Drosophila melanogaster: one gene and its partners. The protein of the gene in region 1 interacts with the protein of each later gene in a pairwise test. Each region holds a gene or a part of one and is shown in the gene's direction. Other genes may lie near its edges. The genes, in order: CG15728, nuf, step and otp.

Region 1 (6,525 bases):
AAGCCAACCCAACGAGGATATGGCATGATGATATAGGGGCAGACGACGTGGAACGGGTAGTAGTTTTCAAGTGGTGCAGAGCGGCACAGAACGCTAATTAAAAAGATACTTGATGGGAGCCACCGGAAACAAAACGGAAAAGCCAAAGAAGCGAGGCGGGCAATGCGAAAAAATGCGGGAAAAATGGCTGAAATGCGAATGAAAGGCAAAGGCGAATGGGATGGCAAGCAAGTTAACGTTGCCATGAAATCGTCTATGAAATGTGAATGTAATCTAATGAATAAAATGCATCTGCTAACCCCCATCATGCCAGCCACTTGCAGATACAGATAGATGATGGATGATTCTTTCACCGGTTTCCTTCGCGTTTTTTTTTTTTTTTTTTGATACCGCAAATTCTCACATTCATGCGGTTCATTTGCGCAGCCATTGAGATTTGAATGGCATTTTTAATTGGTACATTTTACGCAGCCATCCTTTGAGCACAAAGGCACCTCCTGCTCCACCAGCCCTTCTCCTTTGAGCTGGCCATCATTCAATTTGATTTGTATTTATTTAATGAGTTATTAATTGCATTAAGCTCTCGGCGTTGGAGAACTTTGCAACTAAAAAAAAAAAGGAATAAAGCCGGGAGAGTGGGGAAAAGTTTTTCGGCTTTTGCTCGCATTCAGGCTGAAAACTACGAAACTAAAGAGTTCGTACAATTTGCAGCTTTGAAAAAAAAACAACAGAAAATGCTAGTGCCAAAAGTGTAGCATACTTTTCTGCGCACTTTTGCCTGTGATTATGAATTTGGGTTTGGCCGACTAAAGAGGCGCGAGAACTTCAAGACTAGCCAAAACTATTAGCAAATCTAAATCTAAATTATATTTCCAAATTCCAAATTCCATCTTTCCATCTTACATTTGTTGCCTCTGTTACTTCATACATTTAAAATGGTAAGCAGCCCACGTAACATAAAATTATATTATATATATATATATAAATAAGTAAATAAATAGCAAGGTGTCAGAAATACAACATAAATATTCTTGAGATCTAAACAAATTGGACTTGTTAAAGTAATGATTGTTTTGGGCCGCATAAGTATTGTAAAATAATAAAGTTACCACAGAAGGCACTTGACTTTGGCCATGAATGTACTCACTTTACTCACAGGGGAGGAACTGTCAGTTACTCCCTGCCATTATATACCAATTTCAATTTAAATTCCAGCCTGCTGTGGCCCATCCGCGGGGCAGAAACAAAAATATATATATATGCATGTATATAAAAATAAAGGAAAAAAAATAGAAGTGAAGTTCGGAGAAACCGCAACAGCAATTCTCGACATAATGATTGTGTTGAGGGGCGATTATGTCATCATGGATGGGCAGGGCAAAAGGACTCGACACACTTGACTTCCGGTTGGAGGATGGCTGCGAGATGTTTGCCATATTGTGTGAAAATTTGTGTTTTCCCCCGTCCACTGCAATTGGCGGTGGTGGTTTCTCGTCTCGTTTTTGTGATTAAAAATGTTTGTCATTATCCGCTTGGAAAATCGTCCGAAATTGTGTTTGTGCCGCGGGCCGTGCCACACTTGCTTATTTCAAATCTGGCATCTTTATGCCTAATTGCCGCATTGTGTCCCATTGTGCGGCCATCGAACCTGTGGATTGAATCGAATCGGATCGAATCGAATCGAATCGTCTCACAGTCTCAGCCTCGAACCCCGACTGAGCCATACAGGTTGCCTCTGGCTAAGAGTCCATGGCTAAGGGAAAGCCACTGACTATGGCTTTCCATCGATCAGTTGCAATTTGTTGCAAAAGCGAATAGTGGTCAGCGGAATAAAAAAGATACCCATTGAAATATTAGTGAGCTCCTTGATAATTTGCTAATAATTGACGAGGAAGTGAGAAGTAATTTCATTGTACAAGTGAAGTATTCTTCCGCCAAGCTAAACATTTCATACAAAACGTACAGGTATGTCCAGTTTTAATTACATTCATTACGATTCCTGCCCCTTTTGTATATAAACTTTGAGATCCCCATCCATGGGGATGAACTTTATGAGACTCCTGAGCTCCTCGAACTGCATCTAGATATTTTAGAATTTTTGTATCTTTTCGTTTGATTGCTAATGATATAGTGAATCTCAAAGCATTCTCGCTTGTGCCCACCAGGAGCATATTGATCTCAAGGATTCGCTTGAACTTCTGGCACTGATCAAAAAGATCCCAAAGCTTTCTTTTTTGAGTTTTTCTTTGGTGCAATTTCCAGGTCATCACTCTCTTTCACGCTCCTAAGCTCCTAGAACTATCTATATCTATATATTTGGAAATTTATGTATATCTTTTTTTTATTGCTAATGATATAGTTATTAGAGCATATTGATCTTAAGGTCAAAAATAGTCCTAAGCTGTTTAAATAAAGGTTAAAGTTGGCCACAGCACTTACATATACATACATACAGGAAACTCTGTAAAACATGAAATTCTTTATTACTTGGGCACTTTTTCTTCATTACCCCCATCTTGCAAATTCTTTAAAACTGTTTCTAGTTACACAACGCATATAATTAATAGAAAATCAATATGTTTACCTTACCGAAAGAAATTCGCTTAGTATCATCAGGGCCGACAGAAATATTAGACTTATTTTCTTTGCAAGGGTCTATTCGATTTCTTATGTCGCGTCTTGCAAAAGTGGCTAATTCTCAGATGACATTTCGTGATAATTGGTGGGTGGAACGGTTTGGATTCCACTTGCACTGTGGCTATCATTTGTATACATACATCATACTTTCCAATTGTGTAAACAACAACTTCATTAGTAAACAAAAAGTTCGCTGGGTGGTTACAGAACGCAAATCCTAAGCCCGAAAACCGATTCCCTTTCAAATGCCACAAATCAGTAAATAATGACATGAAAATCTGTTGGCTTTTGTCAGGCCCCGCGGCCTCGAAGACCGAAAAATGAAAAAGTTAGTTGGATGGGGGAGGGTTTTCGGTTGCAAAAGTGTTGAGACAAGTGGGGTGGACAATTTGCCTTAAATTAGGCGTAAAATGCACAGATTGGTTACAACAAACAGCGCACACAAGCGGCTCATCAGTTCGGTCCACCCTCAAAAATTAAAGGGTAGCTACTTGCCACTTGTCATCACCATCTTGATTATTATTATCATCGCCATCCGACGGGAACCGGATATGATTGTTAGTATCTATTAGCACAGTTGAACCTCCAAATGATGGTTCCATAAATAATAATACCAGTCTTGTCATTTTTTTTTTTAAGTAAGATAAATAACTACAGTAAAATTTTTCTTATGATGAGCAAAAATACTCAAATGGAAAATGTAAACATCTTTTCAATCTTGTAGTAAAATAAAAATGTAAGCATCTTTTCCACTTACGGATGTTTGACTGTAATTGGCCTGGTCTGCGTTTCCCGTTCAACTTGCTGAACAACCCTCGCTAATTGAGCACTTTTGTTGCGTTTAATAGAGGGGGATTCTTGGGTTTTTACACTTGACGTAGATTTTTAGCTGGACGCTGATATAATAGATCATATTATGCTATAGATGTTCCCAGTTGATTAGCATACAATCGCTTCGCAAGCAGTGGCAGCTAAATTGAGGTTATGTTTGCAAGCAGTTCAGAAAGAGAGGGTTATATGTTGCCTACCCCTTTGCCATTTAAATTTGATCAACAAATACATGTGCATAATTAAAAACAAAAAGGAGAGCATAACACACACACACACACACACAGAGAGATTGCAAAAAAGTTGTTAATCTTTTCATGCCGACGCATAATTAAAATGTGAATATGGAAATTTCAATAGGAATCTGTGCAAAAAATGCCCCAAAAAAATAAAGGGGGCGATAAAAAAGCAGAAGAGCAGAAAGAAAAGACCAAGCAAAGGACGCACAAACACACACACACACACAGAAACTTAACGGTTTCCTGCTGTTATGGCCATCTTGCTTGCACCTCTTGCGCTTTTTACCGCCAGTTCGTTTGCGTGCGTGTGTGTGTGTGTGAAAGCAAGTAATTGCGAAATATGAAATATGAATGCATAATGAGCAGATATTCGCCAAGTGTGCAAGAAACTTGAAGCGGCGATGGGCGTGGCAGGTGGAAAAGTGGGAGTCGGAAACGGAGGCCAGGTGACTTTTATGCTAAAATGCGCACATCGCGCGTGCATTTGCATTTTGCCAGCCTTTTCGAAAGCAGTGCAAGGACAAGCACAAATACACACAAACAAAGGCGGGCACACACACAGGCAGGAAAAATCATAACTACAGTAAGCGTCCGATAGCAGCGACTCCTCTAAGTCCTTCAATTTTATGCGATTCAACTAGAAGTTCAACACAAAAGTGTATTTTGTCTAAAAATGAACATAACTATATAATTATAATATTTTAATATATTATTACAAAAAATTAATTTTAAATCATGGAAGATGTACATAGGTTCAAGGTTCATGAATTCAAATCAAAAGCTTCATAGTTAATTCCTAGACTTTTCAATTAAAAGTACCCACTTGCTGATTTCACTGTACTCGGCTTGGCCAAGATGGCAGCCAAGTGTGTTTGAAAAACATGTCAAAATGTTGTGGAGCTCATTAAAATAGCGTTGGCTATTTGCACACATCATATCTTTCAGTCACTAATTTGTAGAAGGAGGAGGAGAAGGTGAAGCAGCAGCAAATCCTTGAAGGCGCCTTTTCCCTGTTCAAAAGTAATGCATAACTCCCTTTTTCCAGCTTTTTCCTCAGATAAAATGGCAGAATACAACATGAGCCACATGGTGCGACCCCAGGGATTCAGTTTGGAAGAGCTGCGTCAGACTATGAGTCGATCGGCGATTCGGGAACAATGCTACTTTATTTATGCCACCGGCAATATTCTGGAGGTGATCCATATTCATATCATAATCACATTATCTAATTTATTCACATGTTCCGTTAGATTATATCTGGTTTTGATGAACTGCTCAACCAGGAGGGGATCCAATTCGGAGCAGATAAACTGGCTGCGGTGTATGTATGCGGTTTGATGGTTTATCTACTCCATCATGAGGACACGTCGGCCACCCAGGTGAAAAGAACTCTTTTCCTGCAAAAGTGCTTCAATTATATGGCATGCTCCGAGGAAAGCCATGTGAGTAAGCATATATATGTTTGAAATATATATTTTTTGATCCTTCCCTTTCTTTGCCCAACAGATCCACCAGGTATGCGTCCATGTCCTGGGTCTCTTGGATATCCAGAGTTCGAGCACAATGCTCAACCTGATCCTCGGCTGCCGCGTGGCCAGTCCGCTGTGCACAATGGCCAGCGTTGTGGCTAACTGTCTGCTCTGGGCCATGTTGGATCATATGTCGGACTTGGGCCTGGACTTGCACCGATTGCGTCCGGCTAACACACTGCTGCTCGTCGTTGCCGTGGTGAAGCCGCATATTTATGTAATATCCTATTTGCATTCCCTGCACCTGGTGGTCCGTTTGATATCCAGCATCCTGCTGATCGGACCATTCAATGCCCAGGGCCAGCAACTGTGCCAGGAGACCGATGTGCCGGAGGATTATATGAAACTGGCCAGGGACGATTGTTCGATATTAGTTCGCTGGCTAATCGCGATCGTTGATGAGCTGCGTCCGCTGATGGTGGAGAACAACGATTTGGGGCATCTGCATGAGCGCCTGGTGCTTTTGGAGTCCATATGTGAGCTTATGCAGCTCTTGCATGGCCATTTGGTTAAGTGTTACCAAGGCAAAAGTGGACCACAATGTAAGTAATAGCGAACGGAAACAAAGAAATCTGTTATAAATTCAGATACTTTGATGAGAAGAGAATTGAAATCTTCAATAACTTAACCTAACCTTTGAAACTTATTTCAAGAAACAATCGCATCGTATATATATGCAATCAACGATTTTATTATACACAATAAAAAGGCTCTAGCTTTAACTATAAAGTTACGAGGAAAACTCTAGATTTTGCAATTTTAATGATGCTACTTCTAAAAATGCAAGCACTTAGTGATTTGAATATTTCGTGTAAGCGTAAAAAGCTCTGGTAATAGTCCTCCTGAACTATGTAACTATTCATCCAAAACGGAATCCAGCCATTCCTCCACACCGTTTTTGCTTGCTGCCGATGAGGGTGTGGCCGGCTGCACCATAGGCATTGGCATCGTAATGGTTCCAGAGCCTATATCCAGTTGCGTATCGGTCATGGCCAATAGCTCGTCAAGTTCATCAGGTTCAGCTGCTGAGGCAGCAATTGGTTTTTCCGCCGCTGCAGGGGCAACGTCCTTATTGGACTTAGCAGAGGGAGCTCGCGACTTGGCGCCCCCATTGGCGTCCTTCAGAATGCACTGCTGGTAAACTGCCTCAGCCCGTTCGGCGGCCTTCTCTTGGGCGGCAATCTGAGCGCGGGTGAACAAAGACGCCGGATAATCCATACGCTTGTATAACGGAATCGTTTGCAGACCCACATTTAGGCGGGTGAGGTTCAGGGTGAAGTAAGCACTGGCAG
Region 2 (4,870 bases), on another chromosome or scaffold:
GTACACAACTGCAAATGAAAGGTAAATATAGCCGGCTTTAAAAGTATCTGTGAGTTTTGCGTTGATTAAGGCGGCGGTTAAACAAATTAGAAGAGTAAATAAGGTCTGTAAGATTAGACACGGATAAAGGTATTTTAAGGACAATATTACCTTAAAATATCCAAATATACCGATCATTTGCAATGTATTAAAAATTGTGGAAGCCAAAGCAGGCATTTTTTTTTGCTACTGGATTTTATAAAGAAGGCTGTGAAATGAATTTCAACGAGCCCTTACTTCAGATCCCTGACTAGCCCAGAATATTCGTCAGTTCAGTTCCAGCTGTTCTACTGTACGGTTCTCTTGAAAGTCGTTACTTTTTTTTATCATAAAGCTGACACCACCAAGTTATCCGGTAAATATATTTCTTGTTTTTGAACAAGGCATCGTTCGATTTTAAACCTAATAGATCTGGCTTTTCTCCGAAAATTTTCGGCATCTGCGAAGATGTCGTTGCCACGCGTTTACTTCGATATAGCCGCAGGAGGTGAGAAGTTAGGTAGAATTGTGATGGAACTACGTTCGGATGTGGTGCCCAAGACGGCGGAGAATTTCCGGGCCCTCTGCACCGGAGAGAAGGGGTACGGCTACAAGGGATCACCATTCCACCGCGTCATCCCGAATTTCATGTGTCAGGGCGGTGATTTCACTAATCAAAACGGAACTGGAGGACGCTCCATTTATGGAAACAAGTTTCCCGATGAGAATTTCGAGCTAAAGCATACCGGAGCTGGTGTACTTTCGATGGCCAATGCTGGGGCCAATACCAATGGATCTCAGTTTTTCATTTGCACCGGGAAAACCACATGGCTGGATAATAAGCATGTCGTGTTCGGCAAGGTCGTTGAGGGAATGGATATCGTCCAGAAGGTAGAATCTTACGGTTCACAAGATGGGAAGACCAGCAAGAAAGTAATTATCGAAGACTGCGGAGCCCTCTGAAGGGTGTCAATACATAATAGTGCTGTCAATCACACATTTACACTATTACACTGAAATTATACTTTTCAAGAAAACTTTGCAAAATAAAAGGGGGTGCAAAAAAATGTATTTTGTCGGTTCAACTATTTACATCGCTCTCATATGTTACGCATTTCAGACCAATTCGTTGAATAATCCGGTGCACCCTGAACAGCCCAGTTCCCTGACTCATTTTCCTTTGATTTTTCTTTCCATTACTTTTAATTGACTCAATTTAGTTCAAGAGTTGCTCACATATGTCGCTTTTGATTCTTTCCACTCGATTCTCATTCTGTCTCCCATCACCTTTCCCTCAAGCCATTCTATCCACTTTACCCGAATGCACTTTGCAAATGTCTATTAAGTCACATACACTGATGAAAAAAAAGAATTAACCACCAGTAATACATATGTATATGTTTGGTAAAGTGCACTTTACTAAATACATTCAAAAACTCAAATTGAATCCATTATTTTTTAAATATATTCTGCAATATAAGTTTTGTTTAAACAAATATTATATTTGGAAGTTAGTATTTCTTTTCAAACCTAAAAACACCTGGCTAACTATGTTATACAATGTGTATATGTGTATGTGCATATAAGCCACTCAGCAAACAAAATTTTCTTTTCTCAAGTGCATGTAATACGAATTTCCAACACTGCTAAGTCACATTAGTGGAATTTTTCTATTGCGTTCGTTTTGCTTTGGGGCTCTGTTTTTTTGTATTTCTTTTCGTTATTTTTTCGGGCACCCAAAACAAGTCGCGGCTTCTGCCGACGTCGACCGAGGCAGCGGCAGAGGAGGGGCCGCGACTTGGCGCTGGCTTTTCAGCGCTTTCCTCTCTCAGATTGCATTTAACGCTTGCCGCGTTCACAACACTAGAAAAGCGGAGCAGCGCATCGAACGGTCGCCCTGTCTCTCACTCTCTCGCGCTCTCTCGCGCGGGTGTTTTGTTGTTGGGCAATGCAATTGCCAAGGAAAAGGAAAATGCAGCTGCTGCTGCTGCTCTCCTAAGCAAAATAGCCAAATTAAAAAAGGTTCGAAATTCGAGAAAATTAACCCAAAGTTACCTCAATTCGTGTGTTTTTTGTGTGTTACCTATTATCGATCGAATTCGCTTATCAGCTGTGTCAGGTGCCTTTGGCTCATTAACCGCTTATTTAAGGAAAAATGTGAAATCAAAACAAATTCGTTAATGACAGGGTCTGTTGTGAAAACCCGTAATCAAAGTAGCCTTGTTCGGCTCATGTTTCTAATTTTCATACCCTCTGGCAAATATATTGGTTGATTGATCTTAAATTGAAAAGTGCGGTTGAATCAGTTTGCCAAGTGTTTTATCGAAACATAAAAAATGGAAATCAAGTGTGGCATAAAATTGATAAATGATACAATAAATGGGACAAAATGAAAGAAAAAATAAAATAGCTTTAAACAATTCAAAGCAATTCTTCGTTATGGGGCGTTAAAAGTTGAAAAAACACTGACGGTAATTGATGAAGTAAAACGAAGAAAGATAAGGTGATCAAATTTGCAAAACCGGCACAATGTAAATTAATTGTGCTTTTTGTGTTGATTTTTTTTATTATTAATGGAGACAAGTTTAAGTATTTTCTTAAAAAGTTTAGTAAACTTAGGAAGATGAAAAAAAAAAAATAATATTGCCTCTTTAAAAATCAAGTCTTGTTTTCATTGCTTTCGGCAGTTTCTACATTCAAAGGGAATTAAATAAATCAAGGGCTTCCACCGAGAATAACGCATAGCAGTTCCAAGTTCATTCATTATACATAACTCGTACTTCTTAATTTCTTTTACTAGGCATTTTCCGTACCGTTAAGTTTGGTAGGAAAATATTCTTTCATTAGCGATGGTTCGTCAATTAGTAGGCATATAAATCTAACGGCACAGTGCCCTAACAGCACAGAAGACAACTAACCGGAACTGAAAACTAGCACTAAAAACCAATAAGTAAAAGGCCTAAGGTAGCCGCAATAACAAAAGAACGGAAAAGACCCTCTGATGACATCAACAAAAAGGGGGTGTACGAAAGAGATGGGACGAAATGGATGGAGATTACCATCCAATCCCGCATGCGTCCCGTTACTCTTGCTTTTCGGTTCGTGTCCACGCTTATTCACTTGCGCTTTTATTTAGTAATGAGTAAAACATATACATACATACGTATGTATGCATATATGAACATATGATGGGAGGCATTTTGGGAGCGGTTGGCTTGGGGTGACCGTATATAAATTCCACATAATTATGCGCTGTCCCTGACTCAAAAACCATATGTTCAAAATAAAGGAGGCGGGCGGATTCGGCGAGAGAATCACCCTCGGACATATGGCGAAAAACTTTTCCTTTGGGGGATCGGATCGCTCTCTTTCTTCGGTCCCTTGTCATTGCTCTTGTTTGTTGATTATTATTTTTTCCTATTTATAAAGATTGCGCCTCCCCAAATTCGCTCTCCCAGTCTCTCATTTTTCTCTCTATCGCTGGCGACTGCCTCGGTTTATTTTGCCCCTGAATTTCTGGTTCATTCAGTTTGCTTTTCGCGTTTCGCGTGCTTTAATCGAAATTTGTTTTTCTCCCTCGATTGTGGTTGTAATAAAATACATAATACACCATTTTAAATAATCGAAAAAATTAGCTATTCACTTTTAAAATTGAAAAATATTTGTGAGATCGCGGCACAGATTATTGAAGATCATAAAATCGGCAGGAAAATTAAAAATATTTTAAAGGATTGCATCATTAGTTTTTGGTTCTTTTAAGCAAAAGCTTTCAAGAAAGTTATAGAATACATAATAGTACATTAAAAATAATCAATGACAATTTTTTTTCAAGTTCTTATGTATATGATTCCCATATAATTGATGCAAAGTCTTTAAATATACATTTGTTTGAAATCATGAATATTTTATGTGGTACTCAGCATTCCTGATCCAATTTCGGCTAATCATTGTATATTTTACAACCTTTTTGTTGTAACTTGTTCACTTCACTTTGTTGCATGAAAAGTGCACAGCAGCGAAGTAAAATTTGCATTTAATGAGCTCCCCTCGTTCGACTCATCCCCATTTTCACCCCTTCCTTCGTCGACCATTGTATGCAAATCTTTGTGGAATTCAATTTTGCTGAAGAGTAGCTAATGATAATTTTCTATTATGCTGTTTTTGATTGCCTGACATGGGCGAGGAAAAAATGGTTGAAGAGATATGATAATCCAAAAATATTCAGCTGACAAGAAAGGAAAGTTTACTTCATTAGCAAATTAGTTTTAGTTGAATTGAAATCAGATTATTCGGTTACTTACTGTACTTGTATTGAAGGAATTGGATTGTATTTTGATAAGGGTTTCCAAATCATTTGTAATAAAGTTGTATTTTATTTATTTGAATGCTTATTTCGTAAATCAACTTGGAATCATTCAAAGCAAATAAAGTTCTTTAAAAAGTAAAATCTTTATCAGTCATGCCCTGCTTTTAATTGGCCCTCATATTGACCTTTATTTAAATTTGTATGTGATAACGTGAAAATGAAGCTTTGACAAGGGCACCTTAACTATACACGTCGCCGAACGATTTGATAAGACTAAGAATGATTCAGTTTACTAGACTACAAAAGTAAACAGCACGCCACAAATTCCAAGTAAAAGAAAAGCAAACTTAGCCAGCCATTGCATTTTCTGGTAATTAGAAACTAGGCGGGAATTCAAAACCTGAGGAACAAAATAACAATGAAAATAGGGAGAGGTTGGAAAATAGCTGTACGACGAGGATATGTAAAATTGTCTAGAATTCTGCTCAAAGTCTGAACAAAATAATTTTACGGTCTGTTGGTTCTAAAAAAAAAAGAAGAAGTAAA
Region 3 (4,958 bases), on another chromosome or scaffold:
AATAATATATCTAGTTTTCGTTGTCCTAGTAACTTACAGTTTCTTCCAGCTCTATGACAACGTTTGAGTAGTGACCAGATGTCCAGTTTTTCAGACGCCAGCTCTGCTGTATTTTTTTTTCAGGGACGAGCTCTTCGAATTTTCCGAGCACATTGCCTCCGTAAAGAATAAATCTACAATAAAAGACAAAAGATTACTTACCATAAAGAAGTGAAGACAAGGGCGAGGGGCGAAATTTATGGTTATTCATAACAAGATTACTAAATGACGACACAAACGGTCCTGATGTGATGGTAAAATAAAACGACCAGGGACAAAAACTTACTCTCCACCGCGCACGGCATCTACTTTGGCAGGTGCCCTCGTAAAGGCAGTGACCATTTCTGGCTTTGTGAGAGCGTTGTAAAGGTCATTGGCGCTGCAGTGAAATTCTTCGGTCATCGAGAGAGTGCGAACGTCCAGTTTACAGCCGATGCCAGAGTTCTTCAGCCTAGGAGCCGCCACCGAGGAGTTTAAAGCGATATTTTGGGCTGCATTACGGGTATTGTTGGCATCCTTAAAATTCGCCACAGTATTTCCCGCTCCGGCCTCGTCGCCCTTCTTTGGTAGGATAAGGTTCTTGGAGTACTCCTCCTTCAACTCTCGGATGTAGGAAGCCAGTTGCTGCCGCACGCGGTCTCGTCCCACGTTGTACATGAACTGTTTCAGGGTCTCCGACTCGTCGTTGGACTCGTCGATTGTCACCGTGATCTCTACGTCGGCTAGTTCGTTCTCCTCGGAGAGATTGGGAATGGTTAACTTGCCCTTGTGGATCAGCTTGCTGTTCTTTAGGAGCTTTCCAGACCACTTGAGCACCAGCTCCCACTCGTAGAAAAATATGAGCTTGCCCTTGCGATTGTTCACGGTGGCCTCCCCGGAGCATTTGTCCACGGAGTCCACGGCACACTCAATGTCGCTTTGCCCTGCGTTTTGAGAAGTTTACTTTTAGGTTAGGATATACCTAAAATGTATGTTCTACACTACTACAAATTCTTATATACTCGCCTATTTTGAAATCCTGAAAAAGCTGATGCAGGCGGTCCTTGGACCATGGCGTGGCGTTCTTTTCCGTCCAGTGCCAGTTGTTCACGTTGGTGGCGTCGGGCCGCTCCTCCACAATCCAGCGCGGATCTCCTTCTCCCCACTTGGCCATCGCTTTCTTACTGTAGAATTGTATGAAACTGTCTTCAATTTTATGAAAAGATGGAAGATGTTGGTTTACTTTTGATCCGGCAGTCTTAGCTTAAACTAATTCGGACAATTACTATGGCCAGCGAGTGGAATTTTCTAGAATTCTGCGGTTCAAAATAGGGATGTAAAAATTATCGATGCCAGTGCACACATATGTTGGCAGCGTTGCCACCAAGTCCGAGGTGTTTGTGCCGTTAAAAAAACGAAATGATGTGTAAATTTCCTGACGATATTTTAAATGGAGTTATGACGAAAGACGTATTCGTTCAGTGAATTTTTTAACAGATTTAAAATGGACAGTAAGTATTGGTGGTATTGTATTTTTTTATAACAAGGTTGTTTTAATGTTATATTTTTATGTACGTCCAAAACTTTAAGTTTATGTTTTTAACTTGTAACAAACAATTTTCGAAATGGTAATAGCCGATTCCCGCAAATCACACCATAATGGATGTAACAAAGTTGTTTTACAGCTTTTCAAGCTATTTGTCTTGAAATAGATAAGGTCTGCTCTAATCTCTGAAAAAGTGTACCCCTAAAAATATTTAATGTATTGTTGCAAGTAAATAATTAGCCCTAATTTTTTTAGTTCTACTGATTAAAAAGTTCTTACGTTTGGTTACAAGATGCAGTGGCATCAGGATATTTTAAAAGTGGCCACACAGAGCTCGCGTAACACCCAGCTTAAGTCAGCATGCACTTGTTATTTTTCAGTTGTTTACTCAACCGATAGCTGAATTCAGCACATCCCTAGTGGAGAGCTGAAAGAAAATGGCGATAGAATTTTTTTGGTGTTGATTTGTTTATTATCCGTTCGTCTTTGATTGTTCAATGAAAAGCCTTAAAAATTAGCCAACTGCTGGTGAAAAATGTACAACTAGAGTGTGTGTCGTGTGCGCGAGAGTGTGTGTAGTAGCTCAGTAGCTCCGCGATGATTAGCGCAATGGACAATTTCGACAACAGATCGTACGGTGCCATATCAAAGGGGCGCAGTGAATTCTCAATGCCAGGTAAACAGCAGATACTTTTGCTGGCCCGAAGGATATAGCCTAGCATGAACAGAATACGAATCTTTGTATTGATAAAATTTTATTAAGATCACAAATTGGGATACCCACAACTACAAAATAAGAGAAGCAACAAGCAACATTTGTATGTATAGACTTGTGTGCTAGGTGAAATGTTAGTGCACATATGTATGTATATTATGTACATATGTACATTGCGTTCTCGTTTTTGGCCTTCGTCAGAATTAAGTCCGAAGAGCTTTGGTAACGCTAATAAGCCAATTTGCACAATTAGCAATCCATTGTGGTTTCGACAAGTGAAAATTGTTTATCGGCCTAAGCTAGTGACGTAGCCTACAAGATGCTTTCATCGCATCGCAAACAGCTCGTGTATGCACGTGTGTATGTGTGTTGGGCGCGTGTGCCTGGAATGCTGCTCTGGTGTTTTTTATTTTTACTGTTGGTGTTGCGATACAATTTACAAAATGCCCAGAAACAAGTATATGAATTTATTATTGATTCGCATCTCGTTCTTGCAGAACTTACACCGGAGCAGCAAAAACTGCTGATTGAGCTGCGACGCAAGAAGCAGGAACTTTTACTCGAAATACAGGTAATTGACCATCAATATATACATACATTTTTAATTTTGGAAACAACGATTTAAGAACATATTCGTATACACTTGTAGTATACAGAAAAACAATTTCGTGATGTCTTTTTGTCTGGAGTTTTTGCCAGCTTCTTTTTAGGTGATTTGACAGAGAGGGAGCAAAGACACTAGACTTATTCCAGAGCCTTTGTAGGGAGGGCTTGACGGGCTCTGAATTTTTTTATATGAACGATTAATCTTAAAATATATAAATTTTAATAAACCGATAATAAAAATGATGGTAAAATTATTGTTGGTGCTAAGAATTAATTTAGCAAATAATCGAAAGTAAATATCCCAAAAAAAAATACAATAAAAACATTAAGAAGAGAGATAGTGGGCAAGAGAGTCGATTTTTATGTTGTTGAGTAGCATATGTGCATTTATATGTATTTATAAAATTTTATGAATACCTATAAGCCAGACCAATTTGGTTTTTTTTTCTACTTAGGTTGTTTTTTAACTCCTTAATGCGGGAAGATTTGTGATCTGGCGGCTAGTGGCAAGTTTAGCTATTTATGTTCGTGTTGCGATCGTGACTAGTTTTCACTTTGTTAAGACTTCTTTATGTTCAACAACTTTTTTAAAAGAAATATATATTTTAGTGCTCATATCATATCATACCTGAATACAATGACCATGGTTTTAACCCGCACGATCTACGATTGAAATAAAGCATTTGAAAATGAGTTGTTAAACGCCATATAGGCTTTCTCTGGTGTCTTTCTATAAAAAAAATCCAAAAATACTTGCTAGGATTTTAATATTTTTTGTGGTTAAAATTACCACTCACCAGCCCCATTACAAGTGATAATTTTGGTAGTGTATTTAAAGTCTTGTCAAGACATAATGTTTCAATTACCAAATCTGAATTTGAACTGAATTATTCACTCGAATTCCGAATATACAAATAAAATAAAAAGAAAATGTTTGTTCAGTCGAAACAAACTGTCCCTCCGGAATTCCCTCAGAATATTCAAGTCATCGCTCCTGTGACGATCGGTTCACCAGAATAGTAAAACTGCTGTCTTCCAACAGCGAACTGGAGATTTTTTCGCGTGCTGTAATTGTGGTTCTTCGAGTCGTGATCTAAAGTGAACGAATTTTTATTTATTGGATTTTTAACAATTGCCGTTTTGTCATTGTGCTGATATGTGCAAATGCTTGTATCGTTAGATTGTGAGAAAACGCAAAGGTGAGTGTGCTAAAAAGTCAATTATAAATTTGTGTGTGGTACGATACTACCAATTTAATTATCAATTGTTAAAATAAACGTTTGCTGAAATTAATAAAAATATTAATATTTTGCTAGTACAAGTCCTAGTTAAAGGGCTTTTATTTATTGATAACTTTAATTTAAAAAATGTATCTACCTTAATAATGTTGAACTACTTTTAGTGTAAGGATCATGTGTTGTTATCGGTCAAAATTTTCGTATGCACATCTGCACCGAAATGGAAATCTCATATTTTTTCTGATTCCCCCGAATTTCCGTTGCTTTTTTTTCCTAACTATCGGGCTTTATTATGTCTACCTGGATATGCAATTGACACATCGTCCCCTACCTTTCACTCTTCTGTTCCCCGACTACCTGGAGTTATAATTTTTAGCTCAGCGCAAAATTACCTATTTTTTTATAGAATTTATAGAATGGATATTTAAAACCAGACAGAAGAATAATAAAAGTATTTAAACCCCTTAATCGTAGAGTAAAAGGACATACTAAAGCAAGTATATTGTACTACATATATGTAAAGTATATACAACTGTGCATGTTTCAATGATATGTATATAGACATATATTTTAAAGAATTTATGCCATTAAAACTGGTTTTATCCCATTTAAAATAATTGGTATATTTGTAATCAAAGGCTTTAAACTAATGGATTGCAATGATATGTTTGGTGTTTACACTTTGAATGCGTCGTTTGTGTGCACAGAAATTTCGAAAGAAAAATACGCAAATGTCTTCTTCACTGCGTTGCGGTCTTCTGACTGAAATCAACAAAAATCACAATTCTGTATATTTTTTTTATGTTTATTATTGTATTTACTATTATTTTTGTAT
Region 4 (4,577 bases), on another chromosome or scaffold:
CTATCTGCTGCCCGGATTTGGCCAAAGTGATTTACGACATGCTCATGCCAGGCATTCAAAATGCGGTCTAATTGAGACTCCTTAGATGATTAATCCTTGGCTAATATGGCGAAATTCAACAAGTCTACGCCGCACATTTCCCATAAATTTATTTTTCTTTTTGCTGCCGATAACGCCTTTGATTAATTAACACACTCGAAGTTTTTTTATGTACCTCATGTGAGAAAAGGAAAAAAAATGAAAAGTGATGCATATGCTCTAATAAGTGAGCCCAACAACGAATTGAGATGTTATCACGATTTATTCGGCTTGTTTACTTTATAATACACTAACAGAAAAATTTCTGTTCGATGTTTTCGACATTTGTGTGGGATTGTTATAAGTATTTCACACGTTAGTATGCAAGTTTGTGAAATACAAGACTTAATAGGTTGTGTACAATTATCAATCTAAATTTATTACGCCACTTATTAAATTTTTTAAATTATTTTAGAACGTTTGTCACCCCGCACAAGTGTGAACCTTGAATTATGCTCATTGCAAAACAAACTACAACTGCTGCGATTTTTTGCATTCTTCTTGTGGTTTTAATTGCTACCTAGAGTTTTTAATTAACGCCCCCGATTTAGCTGTATGTATTTGTCGGAGGGAGAAGGCCAACATAATTTGCAGACTTTTGAGGGGCGGTGGGAGGACTTTGAACTGGGCGCAGGAAGTGGGGTGGAAATCCTTTGAATTGCGGTTGCCATGACAAACTCTTATTTCGCCCGGCATTCCGTTGTCTGGCTAATTCAACGTTTGTGCAGCATGCAAAATATTATAAAATTCCGCCAAATGTCGGAGGTACTTCCCCTCCAGCAAAAAGACGGGCAAAAAAAAAAAACGGAAACAAAAACTAATAAACGACAACAGGTGAGGCTGAAAGCTGACACGTGGCATCAACAACGCTGAGTAAGAATTCAAGGCGCATTTTTGGGAGGAGTGGACTTTCAGCAATAACTGTGGCCCAAGCGCCGGTTGCCAACGCGACCAGCTGTGGAGTATAGTTGAAGTTTTTCGAGGGGAATCGAGGTCTGTTTCGGCATCGATGATAGCCCGCCTATCGATAGGCGGCAGGACCTGTTATCGCCGAGGGCGCCAAAAAGTGCTATCGTTCGGGGCCACAAGCTCCCGAGTTCCCTCATTCGTTGGTCTGCATTGAGGGCGTGGTCTGGCCTACGCACAGCGAGTATAGCCGACCCGCTCTAGCAACCACTTGGCAGGGCAAGCGCGAACGAGTCAGCATGCTTGGCTCGACGGCAAGATGGCTGTGGGCTCAGCTAGCTGTCTCCTTTCCTCGCCCGCCCGGGGCACTGGCACGGTGTGTGCTCTTTGCGATTTTTGCAAATCAATGCGAGAGATAAGCCCGCTGGCAGAGATAACGCTTGACTTAACCGTCAATTGTGCGAGGGGGTGGCGATTGAATGCGGCGCCAGTGCGCAGTCGTTGTTGTCGAAGTTATCAGGTTTCGTAGTCAATTCGCTTTGATTTTTTCGCACTGCCCTCAAATGCAAGCGAGCAGCGCTACGTATACGGCGTACAGCTCCCATACGATACAATAGTGCGATCCGAAACAATTCGATCCGTTTCCGTTTGCTAGTGCCTAGAAAGCCGTCGCACTGGCAGAGACCATTAACCGAATTGATCTAACTGGGAAGTGCCAAGGAATAACTAAGTGAAAATGTGCCCGAAGTGTAAAAATGCTATCAATTAAACAGTAGAAAACAAGGACGAGTGACCACACCCGAAGGTGGAAGCAAGCCGTGTCCTCCGCCGGACAGTGTCCGGCTGTCAGTTGGTCAAACAGTTCATCAATAAACGATTCGACTTCCGTTTCATTGCGTGTCCCTAAGCTGTGCATGTCTGCGTGTCTGTGAGTGCGATTGTGTGTGTGTGCCAGCTGTGCGCGTGTGTGTGTGTGTGTGTGGGAGCTAAGGAAACTTTTCAACTTCCGGCCAAGTGACTTGGATTTAATTTCTTTGGCTTTTTTATGGTCAAGGCATTTAATTAATTTTACTATGGCAATTTGATCGTCTGCTGGCCTGAACTCTGACCCCAGCCCATAACCCTGTGGCATACACAAAAAGCAAGGAGGCGGAAAAAGGACGAGCGATAGGAGGAGCCAGGTGAGTCCTTGGCCAAATGAGCAATAAAACTCAATGCAAATGCCCACACAATCGAACTTCGGCAGAAGTTTCTGCGGTTAAGGAAAGTGAAACGGATTTAGTTTTCTGGTTAGTCGCACAATAGTTAAATTACCCAAATAGCTGGACATTTGACAGGGGTCAAAGTTCAAGAGAGGGCTGGGCCAAATATTCACAACACACGAGCAATTAGTATACTTAAATGTTTTGCCAAGACAAAAATCAAACATTCATTTATGATTCCAGAAATCTTGATACATTGTAAGCAGTTTTATTGCATATGATTGTATACTATAAACATAAACAAAAACTTTGCTAAACAAGTTAATGACCATTTTCTCTTGTCAATTTAAAAACTTTTAGTATTGAAAATTAACAAGTACTTCCAAAAAAGCACAAAGTCACCTATGTATGTTTATATTTGCGTTGAGCAGAAGCCACCCATCCAAAAATAACAAATCTGTTTACTTGCAGCCACACCCATTTCCACCGAACAATTGAGATGTAATTTGCACCGCAGGTGAACTTCAACTCCAACGTTCTGTGATAGACGAGTATACGAGCAGGAACTCCCATTGGGATTCCGCCACCACCAGTCGATATCGATTCCCGATTCAATCAAATTGGATCCCGAATCCTAACTTTCGGAGCAGCAATCAGAAACAGCGACAAACTGTCGACTCTGTCGATCCGCAATTTCTCGGCAAACATGCTGAACAATCTTGGGGCCAATGTGCTGGGTAAGTTACGCCCCCAATCCTCGATAGCGTTTTAAGTGCGGGCTGCGGGCGGGAGCTGCGTATAATGTTGCAATTAAGATCGCCAAGTGAATTGCGCTAATGTATAATAATGTGTGTATTAATCCATGGCATACGATCCGCCTGGCCATAATTAAACTAATTTCTTGAGCACACCCACAAAAGATCGGAGGGGTAGTTAGTCGTACTTCCGATCTGGCGATTGCCATCGCATCTCCCATGTCTGCTAAATGGCCTATAATTGAGACGTCTAACCAGATGGCGCCAGGTGTCGCGTGCATTTAGCAATAATTAAGTTGTGTATTTAACTAACTCGGCAAACCTTCTCCGATTCCCATTCCCATATGCCTATGCCCATTCCGAATCGAGTGTGGGTGGGTGTGTTTGTGTTAATTGATATAATTGCTCTTTTAAATATGCCGCAAATTGTGAATTACATTCACACATTCACCCGGCGCACGCACATAATTATCAAACTGTACTTGTGTCCTCATATTAATATATTAATAATTCCGAATACACATATGTACATATGTATGTGCGTGTGTGCAGGTGAATAAATTATTTTTACCACACTGTTGATCAACGATTCAAGCACTTTCAATTTTGGCAATCAATTTGTTGTTAGCCGTCCAACACTACCAGAAAATACAGTTTGCAAGTGCATTTGCAACTGCAACTGCAGCAGCCATGGATGAGTTATGGCTCGCGTTTATATTCAATTTTTATTGCCAGCATCCTTGCGTCCTTCGAAGCGTTGCCATTAATTACTTTTATTAATTTATTGCCATTTTTCACGCGCCAATTGTCGCCGCTCGGTGCACGCGGCGTATGCGTAATGTCCATAGTTGCCATTGAAGATGGGTGTTTAATTAAGGGCTAGCAAGCGAAACTGATCTGACGGTTTGCTATCTGCCATGGATTGCGACTGCCAAAGTTGGCTTTTAAAGTTTTCGCCGGCTTCAACTTTAGCCAGCTCCATTTGCCCACGAAGAACTATAAATTTCAATGAATCGCAGTGCGGAATCCTTTGGACAAATCCTGCCCGCAGTGCTGGAGTCTGCCATAATAAATTTCGTGAGCCTTTTTCCGAGTTTCGCACAACAGAGAGGCCAAAAAACATTTGCATACTGGGTGCGTGGCCGAGAGGGGCAAAAGTGGATGCCCCCCTAACCACCCCTTTACAATTAAGAGCAATTTGCATGCAAAAGAAATGGCAGAACTTTCCCCGGATTCGTATTGTCTCTCCCCTACTAATGCTTAATTTGCATGCAGCGAAAGGAGCTCGAATGGCGTTTCGTTTGGGCGCTTTTTTCGTGAGCCTCGCATTAATTAAATTAATTTCATGATTGCATTTGTAATTTGCACAGACCCCCTTCAGGTTTACCCCCACCCGTCCGTTGCATCCACGAAATATCTGCGCGTGCTTCGCTTTGTGCGTTCGGCATTTTTGCGGTGGCCTAGGCTAGTGAAATATGTGTGCTTAACCCCGCTGAACACCGCTTAACCCCCCACTGCCATATCCGCTTTGCATTGAAATGTTTTGCGGTTGCTGCGGATTCTGTTCCCAGTTGCGGTTAGTTGTTGGAGCAGCCCAGATTCCATGCCATGCCATGCCATGCCATGCCATTCCATT

What was found.
Region 2: the proteins of CG15728 (region 1) and nuf interact in a two-hybrid assay, tested with the Drosophila melanogaster proteins (one large-scale study listed by BioGRID).
Region 3: the proteins of CG15728 (region 1) and step interact in a two-hybrid assay, tested with the Drosophila melanogaster proteins (one large-scale study listed by BioGRID).
Region 4: the proteins of CG15728 (region 1) and otp interact in a two-hybrid assay, tested with the Drosophila melanogaster proteins (one large-scale study listed by BioGRID).

Annotation. Positions count from the first base shown.
Region 1 is NC_004354.4:12,622,467-12,628,991, forward strand, and holds CG15728 (uncharacterized protein), read left to right. Parts: upstream 1-1,825; 5' UTR 1,826-1,965; intron 1,966-4,626; exon of another isoform or gene 4,627-4,678; intron 4,679-4,749; 5' UTR 4,750-4,766; coding exon 4,767-4,898; intron 4,899-4,954; coding exon 4,955-5,146; intron 5,147-5,210; coding exon 5,211-5,783; 3' UTR 5,784-5,979; downstream 5,980-6,525. Other genes in the region: Aven (apoptosis and caspase activation inhibitor), read right to left, coding at 6,089-6,525.
Region 2 is NT_037436.4:14,217,897-14,222,766, forward strand, and holds the start of nuf (nuclear fallout), read left to right. Parts: upstream 1-1,845; 5' UTR 1,846-2,040; intron 2,041-3,543; exon of another isoform or gene 3,544-3,604; intron 3,605-4,870. Other genes in the region: CG7768 (uncharacterized protein), read left to right, coding at 487-981.
Region 3 is NT_033779.5:21,754,446-21,759,403, reverse strand, and holds the start of step (steppke), read left to right. Parts: upstream 1-1,937; 5' UTR 1,938-2,161; coding exon of another isoform or gene 2,162-2,240; intron 2,241-2,776; coding exon of another isoform or gene 2,777-2,850; intron 2,851-4,958. Other genes in the region: CG1416 (uncharacterized protein), read right to left, coding at 38-173, 326-962, 1,045-1,192.
Region 4 is NT_033778.4:20,900,374-20,904,950, reverse strand, and holds the start of otp (orthopedia), read left to right. Parts: upstream 1-1,536; 5' UTR 1,537-2,165; intron 2,166-2,657; 5' UTR 2,658-2,892; coding exon 2,893-2,923; intron 2,924-4,577. UniProt on the Drosophila melanogaster protein: May be involved in the development of the central nervous system.